Drosophila melanogaster: one gene and its partners. The gene in region 3 interacts genetically with the main gene of each other region. Each region holds a gene or a part of one and is shown on either strand. Other genes may lie near its edges.

The links. Genes that interact genetically often act in the same process or in processes that back each other up.
Region 1: of foxo (region 3) and Thor, changing one suppresses a phenotype caused by changing the other (phenotypic suppression), as found in Drosophila melanogaster (one study listed by BioGRID).
Region 2: of foxo (region 3) and mnb, changing one suppresses a phenotype caused by changing the other (phenotypic suppression), as found in Drosophila melanogaster (one study listed by BioGRID).

What each region holds. Positions count from the first base shown.
Region 1 is NT_033779.5:3,474,053-3,481,838, forward strand, and holds Thor (thor), read left to right. Parts: upstream 1-4,381; 5' UTR 4,382-4,563; coding exon 4,564-4,708; intron 4,709-5,132; coding exon 5,133-5,341; 3' UTR 5,342-5,560; downstream 5,561-7,786. Other genes in the region: Pgant4 (polypeptide N-Acetylgalactosaminyltransferase 4), read left to right, coding at 1-146, 216-878; CG15414 (uncharacterized protein), read right to left, coding at 6,902-7,786. UniProt on the Drosophila melanogaster protein: Repressor of translation initiation that regulates eIF4E1 activity by preventing its assembly into the eIF4F complex. Hypophosphorylated form competes with eIF4G1 and strongly binds to eIF4E1, leading to repress translation.
Region 2 is NC_004354.4:17,870,315-17,879,005, reverse strand, and holds the start of mnb (minibrain), read left to right. Parts: upstream 1-3,965; 5' UTR 3,966-4,126; coding exon 4,127-4,601; intron 4,602-5,605; coding exon 5,606-5,751; intron 5,752-6,252; coding exon 6,253-6,387; intron 6,388-8,348; coding exon 8,349-8,520; intron 8,521-8,583; coding exon 8,584-8,691. UniProt on the Drosophila melanogaster protein: Role in the specific control of proper proliferation of optic lobe neuronal progeny.
Region 3 is NT_033777.3:14,052,483-14,061,540, reverse strand, and holds the start of foxo (forkhead box, sub-group O), read right to left. Parts: upstream 4,597-9,058; 5' UTR 4,517-4,596; exon of another isoform or gene 4,113-4,516; intron 3,801-4,112; 5' UTR 3,434-3,800; intron 1-3,433. UniProt on the Drosophila melanogaster protein: Transcription factor involved in the regulation of the insulin signaling pathway. Consistently activates both the downstream target Thor\d4EBP and the feedback control target InR.

The DNA of each region.
Region 1 (7,786 bases), on a different chromosome or scaffold from region 3:
GGGGCGGTGAGCAGTACGAGCTGAGTTTCAAGATCTGGATGTGTGGCGGTATGCTGCTGGATGTTCCCTGCTCGAGGGTGGCACACATATTCCGGGGACCCATGAAGCCAAGGGGCAATCCAAGGGGACACAACTTTGTGGCCAAGGTGGGTGCTACTCTCTAACCAGTTCTACTTTTTTAATTCTAATTATATTTGGTTTTAAATCTCATTTAGAACCACAAGCGCGTGGCAGAGGTTTGGATGGATGAGTATAAGCAATATGTGTACAAACGCGATCCGAAGACCTATGACAACCTGGATGCCGGAGATCTGACCCGCCAGCGTGGAGTTCGAGAGCGACTCAAGTGCAAGAGTTTCCACTGGTTCATGACGGAGGTGGCGCCTGATTTCCTCGTCAAATTCCCGCCCGTGGAACCACCTAGCTACGCCGCCGGCATCATTCAGAACGTGGCCAACCCGGTCTATTGCCTGGACAACATGGGCAAGTCCACCGAGGAGGCGGTGGGTATGTTCAGCTGTGCGGACAATAGGACCCATCCGCAACCGAATCAGTTTTGGGAGCTCTCCATATTCCGAGACCTCCGGATGAAGGGCTTCGATTCAGTGTGCCTGGATGTGCACGAGGGACCGCCGAATGCCACCGTTTGGATGTGGAGCTGCCACAGTCAGGGTGGCAATCAGTTCTGGTACTATGACAGGCAAACCCAAAGGTTGGTTCACGGAGAGAACAACAAGCGCTGCCTGGAGGGATTTGTGGAGAACGGCATAGCCAAGGTGGTGGCCAATTCCTGCGAGAATGGCAACGATCGCCAGCGCTGGGAGTTCGGATTCGTGAACCACACTATGCTGGACACCTTCTACGATGGATTAAAGTAGACTTTCATCCACGAGCCACTAACAATTCGAGTAACCACAGGCCAGATGTCGATCGGTTCAGGTCGGGGACCGCGATCGTCACGGGTTTAGTTCATTGTTCGTTGTGAAGGTTTCTGAAAAAAAAAGTTCGCTAAGTAAATTCCATTTTTCCATTAATTCTTGCCCCATGCATTATTGATATATGGCAGCGGAAAGTGAAAGATCTGGACAGGCAGATCGCAATCGGAGCGAGGATTCTGTCCGATCGCGAGCCACAAACTCTGATCTTTATTTGCTGTACGTACACTATATTTAGGTATTAATGTTTCGAAGAGATCCTCGACTACTTGTAAAGTTAAGAGATCGTAACTATGTGAAATTAAACAATAATAAAAGTTACAAGTGTATTGTAGAATCAATAAATACCTTAAACATTTTCTTTTTATATAATATAGATGTAATCGATGTAGTGAGAGCATCTGTAGTACTTCTTCACTTCCGATTTGAATTTTCGACTGTCGCAAAACCTTATCAGCAGGGCTGTTGACCTTTCTACAAAAGGAGAAAGAGGAGTCGGTAAGAGGTAGCAGACACCAGATAGACTAGAGAAGTTCCCACCCCTCCGAGGTCTGAAGTCCGAGATCACCAAAAAAAAAAAAAAAACCAGACATATTGTTAAGCTGATGTAATTTAAGACGCAGTTGCGCGATTGTCCCAGGAGAGGACGAAGATCGAAGATCCCTGGATGAATGTGGATGGATGGCAGCAGGCAATGACTTAGCGTCAAGCTGTCTCGATCTTGGGCTGGCTTTATCCTTATCTATGCAGTTCATTATCTACCAAACGAAAGCACATGCTAATTTATAGACAACGTGATGTTGTTTTGCTCATTTCCTCCGCATTTTTTTTCTCGTCGCTTTTCATATTTTGTGCATAAACAAAGTCAAGTGATTTGATTTTTTGGCCAACGCGACGGCGACGCCGCTTCTCAATCGGATTCACCGAATGTGGGTCATCGACGTCAGCGGAGATGGGGGTCTTATTTGCTTCGGAAGATTCCCTTTGTTAGGGCAGTTCACTTGTTGATGGGCGTTTGGTAATAGATAACAAAAATGGTCAAGTAGTACTTGTATATCTGCGAGTTTTCTTGGAAACTTACTTACCACTGAATAAAATGTGATTTCCATCTTAAGTAGGATGGGTAGATAATAAGCTATATGATATTCACTCTATAAATAATTTGAATTGGTAAACCACAATACATAGTCCTAAATACCTTTATATTATATTGCAATAATACAGCACATTCATTGATTTGATTACCACGTGTATTTGGCAGAGTATATAAATATCATTGGACTTTTTTGTTTACGTTTCTCATGGTTTTCGCTCTAGCCGAAAAATATAAACAAGTCGATGTCGTCTAGCCCATTCACAACCATCTCAGACTCGTTTGGGAATAGAACCCACCGATGGTAATGACCCACCGTTCGTCCGTATGTTTCACGCAATTCGATGGTGCAATTTCATCAGCCTCCCCGAAAAAGATTTCATCCGAATTTCACTATATATGTACGTATGTATTACCTGTCCCCCGGCGGATGGGAAAAACACCCCTCGGCGCTTAGAGAACCGGCTAGGAATATCTCAAGACGCATTTTAACTTGGCTGCAACGCAGTAGGAAAACTGCCTGCCGTCTCTTTCCTCGCGGCTATAGGCCTGTCTCTCTCTCTTTGCGCAGGTACATCATATTGTATCTGATGAAAACGAAAGCAAAATCCGAACTGGTTTCTTCGAGGGTTGATAAGCCCTAATGGAGGTGGAAAATGCGGAGAAGAGCCGCTCTCTCACCCAAAAAATAAAATATATAAACATATCAGCCGGCACGTAGGGCGGTTTCTATGCTGTGGACTACGTGCTAGATGACACGGCAAAATTGTCCGTGTTTTTCGTGTTCTGGCTCCCTTGTTTACCGTTTACTACTTTGGGGGTCAGTTGGCACCCAGCTAACTCCCACCCCCATCTAGTGTAATTGATGGATTTGGGTCATGCTTTCCCCAATTCAAATATGCTCCTCGTCACATGGAAATCTACTTTCAAGGTCTGTCAAGCTTCCCCATTTAGCCATCATAAATATTAGCACGCTTAAGTATCGACCTTGTGCAGATTTCTAGGTGGGCGCCATCCCCTGTCCCACATCGAGATCATGATCGCCGCAGATCAACACACGTGGCCACCTTTTGTCAACCCCATATCCCTCGGAATGGCCCGTGGCCAATATCCGAATTACGTCGAATCGTGGGCGCCAACGTAGGCAAAAGTTCCTGTAGCACTATTTACATGCGTCCAACGATTAAATATCGTCAACATCGCCCCCGCATAGCTAAAACCGCTCGTGCCGCTGCTTGGATCCACCCTATGCTTGCTGCGATCAGTGGGGCATATTAGTTTGATTCCAAACAAGATATTCCACCTCAAAGAACTTGGGAACTAATAAGGGTTCGATCACCAAATTTGGTGATATGATATATGTATTTCTTTAGATATGTGCGCTAATATTAAACGGCTAAGAAGTCAATGTGCCAAAGAAAAGATATTAAATATGTATGTTTCATATCAGTCAAGTTAAATTTTGATATGAGCTAAGCGTACTTTTGGATTGTGCACTCCTAAATATAGAAATCACGCTAAAATTGCATATCTAAGTAAATAAAGCAAGTAAGTTATGTAAGACGTGTATCTTTTCGTGATAATTATTTCAAAACGGCTCGTGCCAGATAATAATGAACACTTTCCGCCTGAAAAAAAGTGAAATGCTGGGTATCTTTTAGCCCATAAAAACCTGCAATATCGTTGCTCAAATTGCTATGCTCCGCGAGTTCGCACATGCATAGAAGGCACTCATAGCCTACGTCACGATTGCCGGCGACGTGTCTTTATGCTAATTAATGGTATTTCGCGAAAACGAGTGCAAAATAATGGCCCCATGGAGAGAGCGGCAGTACTTCACGAAATTCTGCGGAACACCTCTTGACTCCCAGACAGCCATAGATAAGATCCCAATTGCACCTGAGTCATCATCATTTCCCTAGCAAGATCGACAATAGACTTGGTTTTTAGAAAAGAATGCGATTGGCGTTTAGTGCTGTTGGCTAACTTGTTTACCAATAATATTGCCGTGCATTAAACAATAACAAATGACCAAAGATAAACAAGAGCTCAAGGCGAGAAGCCCCTCAAGACAGCCCCCCACCATCGCTACACCCCTTATCATCTAGAACCTCCGAGGTGTGCAGGCTGCAACAAAAATAAGAACAATAGGGGAATATATTAGAATACGGCAATAACAACAAGAACCAGCCGGTTTGTCATAAACTACGCAGAAAATACACCAGATAAAAACAAAAAACATCAGCCGACCAAGCAGAATAATCAGGCGAGAGAGCAGGCGAAAGAGCGAGAAGAGAGCGAGAGAGAGTAAGAATGGGGGGGTATAAATAGAGCCACACTTCGTAATACCGCCAGCAATCGCCTAGCGAACAGCCAACGGTGAACACATAGCAGCCACACAAGCTCTATAGCTGATACAAGCAACGAAATACAAACAACGCAGTTTGTGTAAACAATCAAATTGTCGCAGCCATATCGAGTGTGCTTACACGTCCAGCGGAAAGTTTTCGAAACCAATCCAATCAATCAGCTAAGATGTCCGCTTCACCCACCGCCCGTCAAGCCATCACCCAGGCCCTGCCCATGATCACCAGGAAGGTTGTCATCTCGGATCCGATCCAGATGCCCGAGGTGTACTCCTCGACGCCCGGCGGAACCCTCTACTCCACCACTCCTGGAGGTAAGTTTCGAAAATTGGAAGCTGAGACTACATCGAGTATTATTAAGTTCCTTCCGGAAAGTGGAGTGATTTTCTTATCATTAGATATGATATCAAGATGAAATTAATCAACATATTTCGAAAACATAAACAAGTATACCGTTTCTTTCCTTTGCTCAAACAACAAACAAGCTTTTGTTTGAGTTGTGATACATTATTTTTGTAAAACTCACTCACCATTTTTTGGCTGATGAAACTGGGCCATCTCGCCGAGTCAGTCAGTTGGAAGATAATCCCGAGCACATGTTCCACAGTTCGTGACTCAGAGTAGCGCGGCAAAGAAGCGTTTACTCAGCTGGCTTATCAGTGGGGAACTTTGAATACCTTTCTGATGCAACGCAGACCACCTTGACTAATAAAAATTTCCGCTTTCCTATAATTCCAGGCACCAAACTTATCTACGAGCGGGCTTTCATGAAGAATCTCCGTGGCTCCCCATTGAGCCAAACTCCGCCGTCCAACGTGCCCAGTTGCTTGCTGAGGGGAACTCCGCGTACTCCCTTCCGCAAGTGCGTGCCCGTCCCCACGGAACTGATCAAGCAGACCAAGTCGCTGAAGATTGAGGACCAGGAACAGTTCCAACTGGATCTGTAGGGGGTGTGGCGTGTACACCGCCATGCAGCAACTGCCAAATCCAACTAGTTCTTAGATGCACCCACTAAAACCGATCTTATAAGCTTAGTGTACCCATTAACTAGATGCTAAGTTCTTAGTTCTTCCACCTTGTTTGTTCTCTCGGTCATATTGACCCCGTTACCTTGTAAAATCGTAGATCTTAAGTAAAATGCAATAAAAAAAAGGCACACATTATTTAAAAGAGAACCACACCTTCCATTGGGATTCAGTAGCTGCCAATTTACAATTATAAATTTTAATTTATGTTTGAGAAATTCAGTGCCAAATTACTTTCTTTATCGGCAATTCAACCTTGGCAGGCCACGCGTTATGTGATAGAACACTTTCCACTTCACCTTGAGTCAGTTTCGGTTTAGTAGTATTTTCGGCAGTTTGTTGAACTGTTTGAACTGTTTACGAAGAAATTTAGCGAAAGGGGGCTTTTTGGGGGGCGGTACACATGTTAGACAGCTGGAAATACCGGCCGGCTTTTTAGTTAGCCAGTCAGTCAGTGGCCCCAGCAGCGCGTGTCCCACTTATTGCAAAGATATGCATACATATTTATAATGTATCCAAAAACCGGCAAACAAACGCCACAAAAAAATAGATCTTTAAGAAACTGCGCAGTTGGGAAACGACCTCGCCTTTGGCCCCCGCCCCGCCCTTTACCATTTTTCTTATATATACAAAAGTAGTGTGCTGAGCACATGTTCGTTCAGATAGACCGATCCCTTGTGGTCCAACAACTACATCCGACTACACTCGACTAATCCCGGCACGTTCCAGACCCATTTGAATATTGCGCATGAATAATTACCTAATCGCAAAAAGTGTTTGCTCGACAAAGATTTAGCATCGCAGTGCAAAAATTCGACCGCACGAGATAGTGCAAATAGTGGATCCCAGATGCTTACAGAGTTATAAATATAAGGCAAACCAATTTAATTCAATCTGTAAACAAAGCCAGACAGTCAAAACAAATTGTACAAACTAATTAGCTTTAAGTTTGAGTTGAAAAAACAATGGCTTTGGCTATTAAAACCTCAATGAATATCAAACATAGCCATAAGTTGGTAGTTGCGCTAATAATATATAATTATGAAGATAAGAATAGTTAAGAATAATTAAATATTAGGAGGGGTTTAAAACTTCGCGCTACAGTTCTTAGTATTATTTATTACCAATACTATCATTCGACTTTTAAAATTGTAGTCTACTTTTCAGCGTTAGCGCATAAAGTTGTTAGTTCCTTAAACGCCCGTTTTTATGGCTTTTCATTATGGCGCCACTGTGCTAAATATGAAACTTGAAATTTCATCCAATTAAAATTCGTATCACTTAACCATATTTATATTTATTTGATCAAGTTTCGATGTTTCGCATAGGACAAATGTACAAGAATCTCAAATAGTTTAATAGCAAGCTTACGGTCTACACAAAAAGTTGTTTAAACTTGTTTAATTACATATTTACAATAAAATATACATATTTTCATAGACGTAGGTGCGGATGTGTGCGCGGACAAGGAAGGTAGCCTCTCTACTTGAACCTCAGCAGGTTGTCCACTCCGCCAAGCGGACCATGACCGAAGTGCAGGGCATCCGACGTGGATTCCGATCGAGTGCGTGCCTCCAGAACGGAGGCCACCCGCTGCTGACCACTGATGTAGCCCAGGGATCCGGAGCCGAGATACACATTACCGTTGGGCAAACGCACAAAGCCCAGGCCGCCCGATCCCAAGGCAATGGCATCCCCTCCCGATGCACCACCCTGGGATCTGGGCTGGATGGCAAGCTGCTGCTGCTCCAGCAGCAAGGAATTAGCCCGTGAGTCCAGCTGGATTCCATTGGCGGATGGAGCACCAACATGTGCTCCATAGCGATCGAAGAAACTCGTTCCGGACAGGAATGGAGCCGGGGTCTCGTCTATGTCGTTGTCAATAATCTCGATGACGGCATATTGCTTCAGCTGCCTGCCATTGGCCACGTAGGATTCTCCGGGCGAGATCAACGCCTGCTTGCCGAAGGGAATGCGCAGATTTCCTCCCGCTGTCAGTGGAGCTGGTCCCGTGGGCGGCACCACGATGGGCGTGGCAAGAGAAGTCCTTGCCGGCGGTGGAGGTCCGTAGATGGGTTTGAAAGTGGGCGTTCCGTGGAAACTTATAGATGAGATGGGTGCAGCAGCTGGCGGTGGAATATATGTGGAGACCACCGGCTTCGGTGGCAGATAATGACTAACGATGCTGGCAGCCGGAGCTGAGGGACGACTCCTGGGTATTGGAACTCTGGCCGTGGGCAGTGGAGGAAGTGCCGGAATCGGAGGCAGTGGATGGATGGTGGGCAGCGCACTGAACTGGTGACCCGTATACACCGATCCTGCGCCCGAAGGTGCCGAGGGAGCCGTGGGTCTCGTTGGTCTGCTGTA
Region 2 (8,691 bases), on a different chromosome or scaffold from region 3:
CGAAAACGAGTAATCGAAATCGAAATCGAACTTGAAACAGCTGTCACTCCACGGTGCGTGTATTTGTGTGCGAGTGCAATGTCAGAGGTGGGCGTGTGTGTGTGTGTATGTATGTATTAGAGGCGGCGCCCCGGCAGAAGAAAAAAAAACACAACGAAAAAAGCCAAGCCACACGTTGAACTTGCGCGCTCTCTCGCTCGCACACAGACGCATGCTTTTTGCGTCGCGTGTCGTTCGTTCACCTGCCAAAGAGAAACACAGAGCGATAGAGAGTTGGGAGAGCGAGCTGATTAACATCGCGTTAACAGAGGCAGAGAGAGCGCCCGATTGTTATTATTTATTATTTTTATTTGCGACGTACGCTTCAAACCTTTTCCGGCTCCCCAATTCATACACATATATGCGTATTTGAATATATATATACTTAACTATAAATAATTACAATTCAATTAGTTGATTAAACAAACGCCTTCTCTCATTTCATTGCAGCAAGCAGCAGCACAAACAACAACAGCAGCAGTACAGTTTTGTAAACAAAGCGTGGCGACAATTTTTTACCATTATCAATTGCAAAAGGAAACATTCAAATTTAAAAGTGCTTTTGAAATGTTTATGCAAAATGTTGAGCATAGCGGAAGCCAAAAATTACCATAAAACCAAAAGTACATTAACTTGAGAAAATCGATAGATTCTAGCTAACAAATCGATAAAGAGAAGACAAAAACAAAAAAACAATCCATACAACGCAGAAGAAAGACAGATCGCAAAAGTTTTTGCTTTCTTCTCAGATTTCCCCCCTGCGACTGTGTGCGTGTGAGTTCGCATTCGCGTGTGTGTGTGTGTGTTTTGTTTTCATTAGAGCACACACACACGCCCCGTTGTGTGGGAGTGTGTGTAATTGCAATGTCGAGCGGTAAATAAACGGAAAGAGCAATAACAATAATAACAACAAGAGCAGCAGGAGAAACGTGTTTTTGTTTTGTTTGTTTCATAAATGTTTGACAATTACACTGTAAAAAAGAAAGAAAAGTAATTCGTGACAAGTGCGCGTACAAACGGTAAAGCAAATTCGAAAAAAAGACTTGAAACTTGTGTTCATAATTTTAAACAAACAACAAAAAGTATTCGACCCATTTAAAAATATATACGAAAAAATATATATTAACCAATACCACATACATAAATCTATATTAACTGGTAATCACGAAAGGAAATTCAAACAAAAACAAGTAATAAGGCAACAACAACGACGCAAAGGATAACGAAATGAATGCAAAATACACAAAAAAAAATATTTAATTTATAAAAAAAAACCTACAAATCACAAGCAACCAAAATCCGACACAAAAACACAATTTCAAACTATCCAAATCGCATGAACAAATAACGCAACATATATATATTCATCTATATAAATATATATAAGCAAGAGTATATATATGTCAAGTACATATAGCGTAATACATAGGAGCCAACAAACCAAGTAAAGATTCATTAATCAGCGCAAAACCAACAAACATCATCCCCATGTATAGATTAGAGGATACGAATAGCGGCGGCGTTATGGATAAGAATAAACAGAAACGTAAGTATTATCCACTGATCCTTTTCCAAAAAAAAAAAAAAAAAAAAAACTAAGGATCATATCGCTCGGACCGCTCCAGAAACTGCCAAATATTTCATCAACCTTTCACCATTGCAAACCCAGTTTATAACCACTTCTTTTTGTCAATTGAAGTATATCCTGCGAATTTATTCGGTACAATCATTTTTTTAGTGTAAATTGAAGTTAGTTTTTATTGCCATATAGATGGTACTTTGTGCCAATCGAAAATTGTAGTGCTATATTGTAAATACGAGGGGACTGACTATAAATCAAATAAAAGTCAGTCATTTTGCAAATACACTTGACATTCCAAGATAAAAAATGGTGTTAATGTGGCCGCAGTAGTACAGCTGTAACGATACTACATTATTTACCTTTCGAGAATAAATCAGTTCAATATTACTGCTTTCGATGGCAGTGCCATGTTCTGCAATAATTCCACGCAAATGGGGCATATCACCGATAATAATAATTAGTATCAGGATCAGGTGCTATTTTAAATAATGGCCAGATTTCGAACAGCTAATTTGGGCTGCCTTTCCCCACCATTTCCACCGCTTTTCCTGCTCAGGCGAGGAATGCAACAATGTCACTGCATTCATTCAGTAAATAATATGTCCAACTGTTTGCTTATCACTCAACCGTCACCGTCTGTATTTGTTCCAATCCGCACTGTTTTGAAAAACCCGTAAGTCTATGCGGGACTTCCCCATTATTTGCCAAATATGTCGAGACTTTAGTATCCGATTAGCTGGCGCCGCCATCTGTTCATAAAGTTGTCAAGTGGTGGGTAATAGTAGTATTACAGTCGCAGTCACGTCACGATGTGAGTCACCTGCTCCGGATGCAATTATCGATGGTGTGTGATTGTTGGTAGTGGCCCTATCCCCCCCCCCCCCCTCATTCCTCGCCCAAAATGCAAGTGGCCAAAAAGGTGGCGGGGAGCGAACGCAAAATGTCGTCAACTATTTTTATTTTCGGCCGAGAGACGCGACAGACAAACAACGAACATGAGAACTTTGGGGCAAAGATCCCACATTGCGAACGGAGGATCGGATCGGATCGGATCGGATGGGATCCCTATAAATAGAGGGACTGGTGGCTATGCTCCTGCGAATCTTTCGAGGGGCCCCGAACGCATTAATTATTCAACTCTTCCATCGATTGGCAAGCGTTCAATTTGTTTATTATAAAAGCAAAATATTTTTTAATTGCTTTGGCGAAATGGAAAACACAAATTAGCTTGGCGTGTAGACAGACATTTACATAACTCGAAAGAACACAAGTTTATAATTATTTCAAAATCGTTTGGCATTACTGGGCATTTTAGTTTCGAAAACGATTTCCTATTTTTATGGCCCACTCTGCCAAGTGGCAGCTCAACCAGTTATACAGTTTTGTAACGCACTGCATTATGTACACACACTTTTTGCCTGGGGTTAATTACATTTTATTTTAATTTCACATTTCGTTTGCTTTGTTTTGATTTCCTTGACTTGCCGACGACGCAAAAGCCGAAACAAAGAAATGCATACTTACATATGTATGTATGTATGTATGTATGTATATTTGTATCTTTGCGCGCACGAGACAAGTGCGAGCACTTTCCCACCCACAACCACCCAGCGTTCCCCCATTTACCCCACATGCATTCGCTACATGTCACTACGCTACATGTCATTATTGAAATGCCATTATCAACGAAAAGCGGAACTCCCTCTGTCAAAAAAAACACTTGTGATAGAAAACAAAAGGCCAGCCAGAAGTGAGCTTTTCACCAACAATAATGGGGGAGAATACCTAAGAAAACCGATTTATTCGTTTGTGGTTAATCACAAGCAAGTGCAAGTAACTCTGTGATCAATATGGAGATACTGAAAGGTATTTACCCAACACTGTTTCAATCAGTTGAGCTTCTTCAACACCAGAGATGTGCACTCCGAAACAAAGGTCGAAAGGTATGGATTTGACCAAGAGATATCACCAAGAGATTTTTCTATTTCCCATTTACTCAAATGCAATTGTGCAACACTGAACGAGTCTAGTGTAGTGTTAATATAGCGAATTCCGATGCCAGATAGCCGGGCATTCCCTACTTTAGCTTCATGATCATTACCACGCCGAGATCGTGATGATCGTTGCTGCAATCTCGCTATCGGCGCTCGGCTTCGTTCGTGTGTTCCGCATAAGTGCAGCAAAAAAGTGCAAAAACACCAAGTGAAATAAAAGAGCAGGGAGAAAACACGGTTCCGTATAAATAAAACAGACGACAACAACAACAACAACGACGAGTGGCAAACTTTGGGGACAGAACTGGGGGAACAAAAACCGAGGCAGTTTGCGCTGAATTTTCACACGAAACAGACCGCGCTTCATACAGCCAGATCCAAATGGATCTTAAATTACTTAAATAAACTATATAAAAATAAACGAAATAAGCATATCATTTTGATTGAAAAAAGGAAGCGGTTAGTGCAAAGTGCGTTCGCGATTCCGATTGCGATTCCGATTGCCAGTGATATGTCGACGGCCCTGGTTTATTGGCAGTCAATGAATGGCGGCGATCCGGTTGACAAGGCCACCGCGGATTGGGCGCCATTCGTGGTTGGTGCAGCAGCTGGTGGCAGCTTCAGTAGCAGCATCATCACCAGCAGCAGCAGCAGCTTGAACCACCATCCGCACAACGGCCACCACAATCACCATCATCCGCCTCATTACATCAATTATTTGGCGCAAATTGGCTGCCAGCATCGTGTCAGAAATTGGCCAACAAATGGCAATCAGGATCAGGCGGATGACGACGACGCTGGCCATCAGATCATCTCTAAATTCCTGCCCAAAAGTGCCTGGGACACGGTGCTGTTGGATGTGAAGCGGGATGTAGATGAAGATGGAGATAGAGATAGAGATCGGGTCGATGGCAATGTGCTGATGGTTCAGGGATCGTCATCATCATCATCGAGAATGAAGGCGGAACGGGCACTCTATTATACTAGTAAGCCCATTGGATGAAACAGAGAAGTTGGCCTAGAAAAATTTGTTGCATGTCAGTTTAACTGACCGACAACTTTTTTTTTTGCGTTTGCACAATTAGTCAACGAATAGAAAGGAAAAGTATCTTTGCTCTCGCCACATGTTTTTTTGGAAATTAGAAATGGAGTGTTGGAATATCAAATGTCGCGGATTATCATCGAAAACACAGCTGCTGCCACTTACAGGTTTTACCCTGTTGCTTGATTTTTTCATTCTTGTTTATAACGTTGGGTCTATTTTTGTTGCACAAGCCATCAGCGAACGAAGAGCGAAGAGCAACAAAACAAAAAGAGTGAGCATGTGAAATGGTCATAGGAACGTGGGGAAATAGAATCTACAAACGGCAGAATTATGTATCTGCGCCTGCATATTGTGTAATAATTTCAGTTCAGTTCCGTCTGGTTCTAAAATTAAGGTAGAGCTTCTTTTTTACTTACCTCTGCTGGCCTGCCAATGCACAGGAAAAAAATATTGCTAGCAAAAGTAGATTCTTCGGAAAGGAAGAGAAATGTTCCAATTCGTTTTTTTTTATATGGCAGCATCATGTGCTTACTATCTTTAACTCACTAGTATGACCACCAATTCAACAACTAATTTTAGAACGAATTTTGCATCTTGAGTTAAAAAAAGAATGCATGACTCTGGGCTGGCTCTATATCAGATCTTAAATGGGAATTGGCAGTGTTTTTCCTGCGGTGTGTGTCCACACTTTTCGCCCTACCCTTTGCTTTTATTATCGTTTTGGCAACTCTTGACGCTGACGTAGTCAGGTGTGCAAGAAAACAGGTGCATTTTGCAGAGGAGCGGTGTCCGAGCGATCCGGTCAATGAACCAGCACAGAACGGCGCACAACGAAGGCGGCAAGCAAATACATCGCAATAATTATATATACACACATATATATTTGTATAATTCCCGCCGATATCTGATAGTATCTCTGATCTCTTCCTTTCTCTTACGCTCTAGTGTCCGCTTATGGGTCCAGCGGCGGCAGCGTCGACGCAGCGCAGGGCAGCGGAAGCGGGGGCGGAAGACAGCGCCACGCCCCACTCTACGGGCGATTCGTCGACGCAGAGGATCTGCCTGCCACGCACCGGGATGTCATGCACCATGTGAGTATTATCAACTAGCATTATCCTTATCTTCAATCCAAAACATGCATTTACACACAAAGGACATGCAGAAGTTGTGTTTCTTTCTTTTAGAAATTGTAGAACATTTTTTGTTTAGAAAAAATCCACAAATATTTCAACGGAGCCGTGTAAAAGATAACTTTACTTCGTTGAATATGAACTTACTTTTTCCCATGCTCTACTTAAATTAAAACATGCAATTAGAAAGGTTTATGGCGCATTTGAGAAAGCCGCGCCCTCGGAAGAACAAAGAATGGTATTTTTCAGGACTGGTTTTGCCTTTCTCAATGCGGCCATTAAGACTGCGTATTTATGTTAATAACGAAGCTTAGCAAGTACATTAATAATGTTGTTTTAAGAAATTAAAGAGATTGTGTTCAAAATAAAAATGATTTGATCTGAGCACGATCTGAGCCAAAGCTAGCTGGGCATCACTTTATTGAACAGTTTGAGTAATACGTTCTCCATCTCATTCCACAGCACTCTAGTCCCTCGTCTTCGTCGGAGGTGCGCGCCATGCAGGCCCGGATTCCCAACCACTTTCGGGAGCCCGCCTCGGGACCTTTGCGCAAGCTGAGTGTCGATCTGATAAAGACCTACAAGCACATCAACGAGGTGAGTGTGGCCCATAACTGGCGTTTAATCTGGTTAATCTACAAGCAAAACATATGAGAACCAATTGATAATTGGATATTTGATCATAAAATCCTATGTTTATCGTGGCAATATTGAGTTTGGATCATGTTTACCAGGTTCTCTTGTCGTTACAATGCACATAACTTTTCTGTTTTCATTTGCATTAGTAAATAGTGATTCTATTGATATTTTAGCTTGGCAAGATTCCATATCATTTCAAAAAGTATATTCTATCTAGTTTATGTAACTGTCTACCTTATCAATTACCATTGCGATGATGTTGTTCTTGTAGTCTGCAAAACTACGAAGGAACCTTGGCATCCATCCATCCCGATTTCTTTCTTCTTTTTTTTTTATTTACGCTTATATGTCGATCGGAATTTCGTCGGGGGCTTTTCTCGTCTTGTGGCTTTCTTTTTTCGGCTGTCTGACTATCTGCTGACAGCGGATATTTGTGGCGTTGAGCTGGGCTAAAGATACGTTTGTCCTTGACCCGTTCGTGGGGTCAATTCCCCCAACAGCGTCACCGTTCCCCCGCAGCCAGCCATTTGCAGTTGGCTTCGATTGACGTCGTCTGCCGCCTCGGTTGACAACAGCCGAAAAAAAATAAATAAATAAAAGGAGCATAAATGCTACACGCAACTGTCTCGGTTCTCCTGCCAAGTTCCCAAATTTCTCAACGAGAACGTCCCCCGAATAACTAATACTTGTTTCTTGATGGCCTCTCATGGAAACTGTCAAATGACGCTATGACAAAATGCCGCCGACCTAAATCGGTGATTATGCGCCTTGAGTGGGTGGGGCGAATGTCGCATGCCTCATAAAAATGTTAATATTTCACGCAGTTTGAGTTCTTACGAGTTGCACGCAACTTTTCCCAATAAAAAAAAAACCTTCACTTTCTGGCATTAAGGATAGCTACTATATTCTATATTTTCTTTGACAAAGCGTACTTAATTGTAATTAATTTAAACCGGCATCTTAAAATGTAGCTTATTCTCAACGGAAGTCAAACATATTGAAATCGGTAAATGAGAATGCTGCAGTTGGGCGATTTGACAGCTAGCGATGTTGCAAGTATTTGAATTTGACAGGTGCTCTCGAGCAGTTGGAGTGCTTTTGACAGAAGTTACAGTTACATTTGCAGTTGGCAGCTTGTGCCGTTGGAGATGCCGTAATATTGCAAATGCCTTTTCGCTGCCGCTTTGTATGCTACAGTTTTCGATTTCGAGAGAGTGGGGCTCTCTTCCTCTGACTCTGTCTCCTGTATCCTCTCGCAACGTGGTGCTATCTCACTTGCACCACCGCCAACTTGCCGCGTTAGCAACAACTTTTTTCACCAAGCTGCAGCCTTTTTTCCCCCGTGAAAGAGAAGCCGTGGTGGGGAAAAAGAGAGTACGAAAGAGTGAGTCGAAAAAGGGAGAGAGGATTTTCTCTTTTTTTTTTTTAGCTTGGCGTCGCCCTCTTTCGGCATTTTTTTTTTTATTTGCCGGTCTTGGTTCTCATTTTCGCGATTTCCCCATCTTCCCACTTTGTGTTTACATTTGTCGTTGATGAAGTGGAAGTAACGGGATTACTTGCAACTGGCCAATAGAATCCAATTATCTTTAACACTTCAATTTTTGGAAATTGTATTATTTTTCTATTACTTCACATGCATTTTGAACATATTATAATGGGTTAGAAAACTAATATATGTAAACAACACAGAAATGCTATCTATTGAAATTGATCCGACTATTTTAAGTGTATAATCGTATTCTCCTGGCAGATTCGCGTTGTTGCCCTTTAGGTCACTCTACTTGCCGCCAGGTGGCGAACATGATCATAATATTACAACAAAAGCATGAAATGTGTTTTTTTGTTTTATAGTTAAAAAAAGATTTTTTTTTATTTGTAAATTTTTAATATATATGATAATATTATTTACTTCATTTCAGGTTTACTATGCGAAAAAGAAACGTCGTGCCCAGCAGACGCAAGGAGACGACGACTCATCTAACAAAAAGGAGCGAAAACTTTATAACGACGGCTACGACGACGATAATCACGACTATATAATCAAGAATGGCGAAAAGTTTTTGGATCGCTACGAGATCGACTCTCTGATCGGTGAGTGGGGATCATACATATATCTATCGAAATTTAACTCATTTACTAATTACGTTTCCGCAGGCAAAGGCAGTTTTGGCCAGGTGGTGAAGGCTTACGACCACGAGGAGCAGTGCCACGTGGCGATCAAGATAATTAAGAATAAGAAACCGTTCCTAAACCAGGCACAGA
Region 3 (9,058 bases):
ACAGCTGGTCGTCGATGAGGAGGTAGGTATTCGAGCAGCACAGCAACTGGTATGGTCTGAACCAATCTGGTCCGGTCTACCCTGCCTAATGAGCCGACTTCGAGATGAAGAGGACGGCGGCGACGACGACGACGACGACAACGGCGACGGTATCAATCCCAAAGCCCAGGTTCGGTTCCAGGCCCATGATCTCAAGTACCTCGCGACCCCATGATGATCATAATAATGACGATGGCGCGGTGACGATGACGAGGCCACATCGAACCCACTTGTCGGCCACTCCGGTGTGCCGGGGATCTCAAAATGTGTGTGCTGTGCTGTGTCACCCTCCATAAAACCGAACGACCTTTGCCTTCGAAAGTGAATTATGCCCAGCAATATCAACTCGTCATGGACTAACCTGCTGATAAAGCAATATAACGCGAGAGCGACGAGTTCGGCTTGCCAAGGGACTAGTTATAACTTCAGGTTAAAACGGTACATGGGCGAACTTCCGGTTAAAGGAAAGTTAAGCCTAATATTGAAAAAAAATCGACTTAAAATTATATTGGTCTGGTATTATTATTATAATCTTACAGTAAAAGTTTGATCGGGCTTTAAGTGTTTTTGTGTTAAGTTAAGCTTCCTTTTTTGTTGAATAAAAAATATAATTGATTCACTTTTCTAATTTCACTTTAAAGGTTTTCAACTTCGCAACTCCCTGTAATAATTCCCAATAATTCCCTGTCGACACTTTGTGCTGTCGCTTTTTTTCCGAGTGCGTTCTTATCACGCAACCCCAAAGATAAAGAAGCGATAAAGAGCTGAAACGAAAGCAATGCACATCATATTTATGCACTCCCCGCCAGCCAGCAACTGTTGCCATGTGGAGCAGCAGCTCCACTCGCCGGCACCCGTTTCTATCTGTTTGTATCCCTCTCCCTCTGTGGCGACCAGCTGCTTATCGCGGTGGGCACCCTCCAAACCTCTGACCCCAAGCAACGCCACAATAACCCCTTTACAATGCCAAGCATAAACCTTGGACAACAAATCTTTTTTGTGGCACTTTCAATCTGCGCTCTTTTTCATATTATTTGTACTGTGCTTTAATTGTTGGTTTTCTGTACCACTGCGTTTTTGCTTGATATTAAAGTTAGTTTTGGGAAATAAATAACAATAATTTATATGTGTATATATTAATCATTGGAAAGTGACTAAGACTTAGGAATCTGGTAATGCAGTGATTGAAAATGATATATTAAGACATTTTTGTGAGCTCAGTCGGGCCCTAATGCACTTTCCAGCTATTTTGCATGATTTTCCTATTAACTTGGCATTAGAAAATCCACAAGGAGATGCCATGTCAGTCATTGCATTCTGGTTTTTTCTACGCTGTTAATATTTAATAATTTATTAAGTCAATTATCGCGGAAGCTTATTCAAATAAAAGCTTATTGAAAGTGCAGTTATCTGGCGGCACGTGGATCTGCGAGAGAATCACGCGCTTCTAGAGCAACTAAGAGAAATAGAGAATTACATATATATAAATGAATACATATGTAGATTTCTATATATTTATATATACATATACATATACATATATATCGCTATATAGAGAAGGAGAGGCCCGACCAGGCAATGTGCAATAGTTCAGAATGCAGCGAGTGCGAACGCAAATGCAAATGAACGGCAGAGGCCCTGCAATGTTTATTGAATTCATTACAATAATTAAAGAGCAAACGAACGATTCGATTCCACTCGACCGATGGCGAAGTCAACCAGGAACGTAGAGCCCCCAAACGGCGATCTTCGATTGACAGCTGGGACAACTGACGCATGGAAATCATGGATGGGATCATCTGACTTCGCAAACGCAATCGATTTGCATTACTAACGTTTTTGGGGTCGGCGCGAAAAACGAAATAAATTAAGCAAAAAGAAGCGTTCGAAAAAAAGTTCTACACATCTGAGTAGAATATTTAAAAATCACAAAATAATACTAAGAAATAACTACTGGTATTCCGACTATATCTTTCTAAACAAAACAATATGTAGTGGCTCTCATTTAATGATCATTAAATTTCCATTACTAACGTTTTTCGGTTATCGGTAAAATCGACATTATCGATATAACTTATCGTCATTCTCAAACGAGCTTATTAGTAAGAGCTTTACTAATTCTTGAAGAATACTAGAATACGAAGAATACGTTTAATGTTGTCTCTCAAAATTAATTGACTTCCCGGTTTCCCTGCTTCAATTACAGCTTTTTAGACAAACTTTCGCACACTTTCTTGTTATCAACTGGCACGTTCCACCAATGTGGCTAGCAAACACTCAAGATATGATAAAAGTCACAATCGCAAGCACATAGGACGACTATACAGATGTGTGTATAGGCTTATATGTACACTTTTTTTGGGCCATCAGCTGCTGTTGTACCTTGGCACATTGCGAATAGATAAAAGCCTTATCTGTAAATGGGGAATAAAAAAGCCTCTTTCGACAGCTAACCGAGTGGCGAATCAACCCATTTATGAAAATTAAACCTAATCACATTTCAATGTCAATACTGATGTCAAGAGAATATTCAAAAGCATCTGAAAACGGTGCGTATACGAGATCGCTGGCAAAATATGGCAACAAAATCGACCTTAGTGGATCGCATACGAAAATCGGGGGAGCAAACAAACACAGAACGAAAGAAATGAGCTCCACGCAAACGACACACGCTTCAAGCTCTGCTATCAGTGTGGCGCTGGGGCTCTATTTTTAGAGCCATTATCAGCGCTGCTCTAATTAAGATCTCCCCTGCCCACTCCCATGACAAGTAACACACCAAAACGGACTAATCAAAACCCACACGAACTGAAAGATCATCTATTGGAGCGACACTGCAGCGCCGAACGTGACCGACTTTATGATTCTAGTCGTTTTGATCTTGAAAGTGAAACTAGGAATTACTCGAATAAGGTTATAAATCACATTCCCTATCGGTTGTATTAAAATTTGGGTCGTAAATTCAATAGATGTGACTACTTTAACACAACAAAAAGTCCAGCTTTCCTATCTAAAATTCTAAACACCAATATAAATAAAAGAACCTAACTCTAGTTTCTATTAAACCTCTTAACTTTTATCAAAGCTTATTTTTATAAATATAGCAATAGCAATTTATATTGGAAATATTTCACGGAAGAATGAATATTTTATTGTGGCGACTAAAAAAAATGTTGTTGTAATCAACATAAAATACCATTTAATTTAAATTTTAATTGATGTGTAGGAAAGCACTGCTTCAATTACTTTTTTAATCGCGTGACGAAACAAAATTTGACTTTTAGAATATTTCAATCAATTGCCGATTAGATTCGAATCGAATTTAGGAACTTAAAAAACATGACATTTTTCATTCAATCAAGTACACCTACTCGTAATTGTTAATAATATTTACCCGCCAAATGTTTGCAATGGGAAATAGCTGGCTAATTTGTTGCTCCTTGTTGATTGCGATTTAAAAAATTGTTGATTTTGCCGGTGGGATTTGTTGATCGCCGTTTGCTGTTGTTAACTGGCACTGTTTTACTTTATTTTCCTGGTTGCTTTGCACTTTTTTATGGGTTTGTTTTTTTTTTATGGGTAGTATATATGATTGTGTTGTTGTTTTGAGCGAAACTTGTGCGGATTTCTTGATTTTTAGTGGTTATTTAAATATATACATATATATTTTTTAGAATTCTGTTGGCATAATTTTCTGCTCACACACACACACACTCATTAAATGGGTTTCTTGTTGTTGCTGGGCGGCGGTTTTGCTTAAGCTAAAGACGATTGTAAAAACGGTAAATTAGAATATATATATAACAACAATCAAAATAAACAAATAAAAAGAGCGCGAAGAGAGCGGCGCGATTAAAGAGCGTAGTGTGTGTATGTGTGTGTGCCGAAGAAAGAGAGGGAGAGAGCGAAGAGAGCGATCACGTCACGTCATCAATTCATGCCAATTGGACGCACACACAACACTTAATTGGAATTCGTATGAGAATTCAATGAAAACCGTGCGGCGCAGTCGAAAAGTTGTTTAAAGTTCAAATGGGTAAAAAATTTTAATATAAACACGTTTCGGAGCTTACTCCAATTCGCTTTTTATTCGCCACTAGTGTGCGTAACGTATTTTATGTGCCATATAGTAGGTACATATGTATGTATTTGTATGTACAACGTGACTGCTACGAAGATCATCCAAGCATCGCTATTTAATACGTTTTGGAGCTTTTCTCTTATTTTATACGATTGTCGTATGTAAAAAACGAACGCGTTCCTTCTACGTTTCAGTTTTGAGTTCGGCACATTCACATGTTTTGAAAGCGAAACATATTTATTTTCCACTTTCTTGATTTGTTTCTACATTTGCGTTTTAGAATCAACGGTGTTCGGCCCCAAACGATTTGGGCCTCAAAAGATCACTGCGTTTTTTGCATTGGTTTATATTTGCTTTGCTTGAAGTTGAAAAGGAAAACGATGAACGATGAACGACCTCGTGGCTTTTAACCGCAAGCGAAAAAACACAGACTACTCGTTAACTGCTTTCTAGTTGGATGCGAACTGACAACTGAAACTGATTCGCCGTCGCCTTCGTAAAAGTGTTCGTTTCGGCGGCGCAAAAAGGCGGTCTGTGCGTGTGTGTGTGCGACCTATGTCCGCGTATGTGAGAGCTTGCTCTTAGCATCCACTCACGTTCCACAACCGCTCACTTCACCGCTTTTTTATGTTTGTGGCGCGCTTCGTCTCACACACTCTCACACACTTGGGGCCAAAAAATTAGTGGGGTATGCCAAATCGATATGTTTTATTTGAGTATTTTCTGCGTGAAATAAGAGAAGTTATAGCTATAGCTATAAATGCAATAGATATTTTAAATCTTAAAGCATACAAATTTCTCTCTTTAAGGGATATTAACCCCAACTAAATGATAATTCGTATAAAATAAAAAAGGAATTGTTTCAATACTTACAAATTTAATAATATAAAACTTAATCTATTTATTTTTAATAACGGGTGACTGTTTTAATGAAAAGAATAAAGTTCAGCTGCAGTGAAACATTTAAGACGTCATTGCATATTAATAACAATTTGAAAAGTATTCATTATAAAAAACATGTTATTCACTATTGAGGTGACCGCCTTTGTGCCCCCGTCAATATTAATAAATAAAAGCCATAGTTTACCTATTTTATACATTTGGAATTTAAATTGTTTCTTTTCATTTCGGTCGCGCTGCTCTGAACTCGAAATTCTCGACGATGGAGGAAAGGGAACGGCGGCGGTGGGTGGTGGTTGGGCGTTTTGGGTGGGGTGATGGGGCGGTCGGCATTGCTGATAAGGCAGCCGTTATCTCGCGATTGTCGCTCGCTCGTTCACTCAAGCTCTCTCTCTCCCTCCCTCTTTGAGGCTCCATTTCTCTCTTACGTTCATTGTCTCGTGATGCGATGGAAAATTTCCCGAAATTGCATTCTACTGATAATGCCAGCAATGCACATTTGTGCATATGAATATGGGACTCAGAAGTGCCCCGCATCTCTTGCAGTGTGCGAGCTTTTTGGGAGCATGTATTTTATGGTCAAAGTCCCCCGCATCCCCGACCACCGAAAAATAAGCCCCTCCCGGTGCCAGTTTTTTTTTTTTTTTTAATTTCATTTTTCGCCTAGGCCCGATATCTCTATACTTGTACACACGTTCGCGTCCATGAGAGTGTGTATCGGTGTTATTTTAATGTGCCTGCCACATAAATTCCGCAACATTACACGGCTAATGAAGTCTAGACGCTGAGGACGGAGAAACCAACAGTTTATGGATCATCCAAACTTAAAGACCGACCCGATGCGATCGTCTCGATCCCTCGAGAGGGGGGATTAGAAACGAGCCAAGGAGATGAGTTAAGGACTTTAGGGTGCATCTTGGCATATCTAGGATCTTAAAGATTTCAAATTTGCAGGCTTCATTGGGTAATTTTTTGTTAATTTGTAATTTTTCAGAATATTTTTATTGCTTAAAAAGCTCTTTTAGTTTTTTTTTGTTGTAAGATTATAGCTCTATTAAATAGGCCTCAAAGTCTGCAAAGTCCCGAGTTATGACAATAAAAGTTTGCATGTACATAGAGATTTTGGAATGCGAGAACAACAAGAAGATAAGTCCGCCAAAAGATACATATATATTTTAGAATGCTATTAAGTTGGCTTAAGAACGATAAGTAACACGTTGGTATAGGTAAGTTCCATCTGGAAGTGGGCTTATAAATCACTACTACCATTTAAATGAGCATGTAAATAGCATGTTAACTGGAGTATCAAATGAATTGAAGTTCTCAAGACTAATTTATGCGTTTGAATGATCAGATAAAAGTTAAAATCACTCGAGCAGTGTATCAATAGGCCGCCCACTTCCCATTCCATTCCATTGAAATTACACAGACGTTTCAGCTATCGCCAGCTAATACTTGATCATAATTGTCAGCGGCAAAAAAAAACAGAAAATATACAAAAATATGTATAGAGCGTTTCATTTGCGTTGGCGCGTGGCGAATGGCTAACTGTCGTCGCCGTCTCGGTCTCCGTCTCGTAATCACAACCAAATTTGACAAACTGGACACGCAAGGCACTAAACTCAGGTTTCAAACTGCGCGCCAAATCTCGAAAGGAGCTTTTCTGGGCGCCAGAGTGCCGAAAACGAAAGGGGTTCTTTCTACAAGCGACGCTCAAGTTTCAAAGGTCTCGAACTGCCTAAATGCTTGGCAAACTCTCTAGAACTAGATAGAACTAGATTTAGACCATTTTAAAAACTATTTAACTATAACTATTTAACTACATAAAAAAAGAACATTGTTTAACCGCAGCACATATCAAATAATTATTTAATTTCATTGCTATAAATGATAATCAGTTAAATACTCTGTAAATTACGTATACGCCCAGTTGTACAACCAGCTATCATCGTTATCAATACAGTTTATTAGATCTTAATAGCACTTAGTGAGTAGTGTGCAAAAAACATAAACGCCACCCTTTAGCAGGGCATTAGCACCAGATGCTCCGGCTAATTCGATCCAAAGTAAAGCCAGGCGATCCAAATCAAGTGGAGCCGATCCGGAGTGGCTCTACACACGCTTGGCCTTCAAAAAATTATAATTTCTGTTTTAATGTCTCGCCTGTGTTGGCATATCGTCGATGGATCGAAGGGGTTAATGGCAAGGGGGTGGTGGTATATTGCTATATTGGCATATTATAGCGGTCTCAAACTTGGACTCCAGTTGACTCGCCCGACGATTGTTTACCAGCAAAGACTGAGACAGTGTGTGTCTGTTTCATATGGAAATTTGAACACTGTTACTAACAATTTGTTAACTCAACCATTTTAGGCAGCCCTGCAAGTGTGAGATGGTGCGAGGGAGTAAGAAACACGATTGTTTTCCTAACTCGTTGGCAGCGATAGTAGAAATTGTGATTCCTAATTGATTTAGAAGTGGTTTATGCGCCAAAGAATACTAGATAATATATTTACTCAAATACATACATATACATATCAGTCACTATTAAAGCATTTCGCAATGGTGACCTAATACCGAACACCTCCCCAATAATCGCTTGATCAACTGTGGCCGAAACGGTATTTGCTGTGCCACTGCCACTTTGGCTAAAACGAGATTTTGTGACGTTGGTGTGTCGCTGTCGAAGTCGCACGCTGATGTTGATGGGGCGCTATCAAGACTCTAAAAGACACCCAACCAACATCAACTCTCGCTGGCAGGCGGAATTATGCTTATATGCTTATGTGCGCATGTGTTTGTCAAAAGCGAGCCCCCCTAATGTGGCCACATGGAATTCTGCGAGCAGTGGCGTACTCAGAAAGCGGGCTAAGGGGAGGGGCTTATTGGAAGTATACTAAAAATAAATAAGTTAGTTTCAGAGTAATAATTGATTCAATTATTAGTACGTTAATATTAATATCTAATACTTATAAAAATACTTTAAACCTCAACCCTCCCCCACTTCGTCGCCCATGTGAGCAGCAGACTCTGTAGACGGCGATGTGAAGGCTTTCGGGATGTCGTAGTACTGGACCCATTTCCAATAACTGTACCGGTTCGACTTCTCCAACCTCCCCCTTCCCTCCAACCACCGCCCCCCCCCCCCTCACGGTAGCGTGTGGCATTTAAAATGCAAAAATATCGCTTAAGCGTTATCTCTAATTTATTGAGATTAAGGAATACTGATTAATTTAACGACGTAATTGATGCAGCCGCGAAAGCGCACGACTTTCGATCGGCAAGCCGACACAAAACAGATACAGATACAGATACCCATACATATGCACAACGTACCTGCCCCCAGCCCTCTTTTCAGATCTTTTCACTGATTTCCACAGAGCATTCCTGTTGGAAGCTTGTAGTGCGACTTAGATTGACGGAAACTGAAGCGAGTGCACGCAAAGAAAATTAGTAAAATATTTTCAAATTGCTTTAATATTTATACGTCTATTAGATCTTACCAAAGATGTGAAATGGAATATAATATTGAAGTTTAAATCCTAATAAGGGTAATTCTTTTGTAACAAAAGTACAAAATTTCTTTCTTATATCAACTTAAAATTAGGAATCGTGACAGATAGTTTCAAATAGTTCGCAAAGAAACGTAACTCAACTTGATGATCATATCATGCCTTAAGAATCTGTTAATGCCAAGGGGCGGAATCGGTGGCGCAAAGAAAGGGGCGTGTGTAAATTTACAAATACATATGTTGGAGAGCGAGAGAGGGAGAACGGCGCACATGTAAATGCGATGGAGCACTTCCTGAAGCCAGATACCAGATACAAGATACAATATCTGTAAGATACGAGAATGCGATCCACACTCGCTTGGCGTCCACATCAGCACACCACGTGGTCCCTCAAGTTCAGAAGAACGGAACGAAATGGAACGTAGCGAATCTCAGAGAATAGGCATAGAGCATAATAAATAGGCAAAAAAGCACAAGCCAAACGCCAAAGAAACAAATAGAGAGCGCGGCGCACAAATAAACCAGG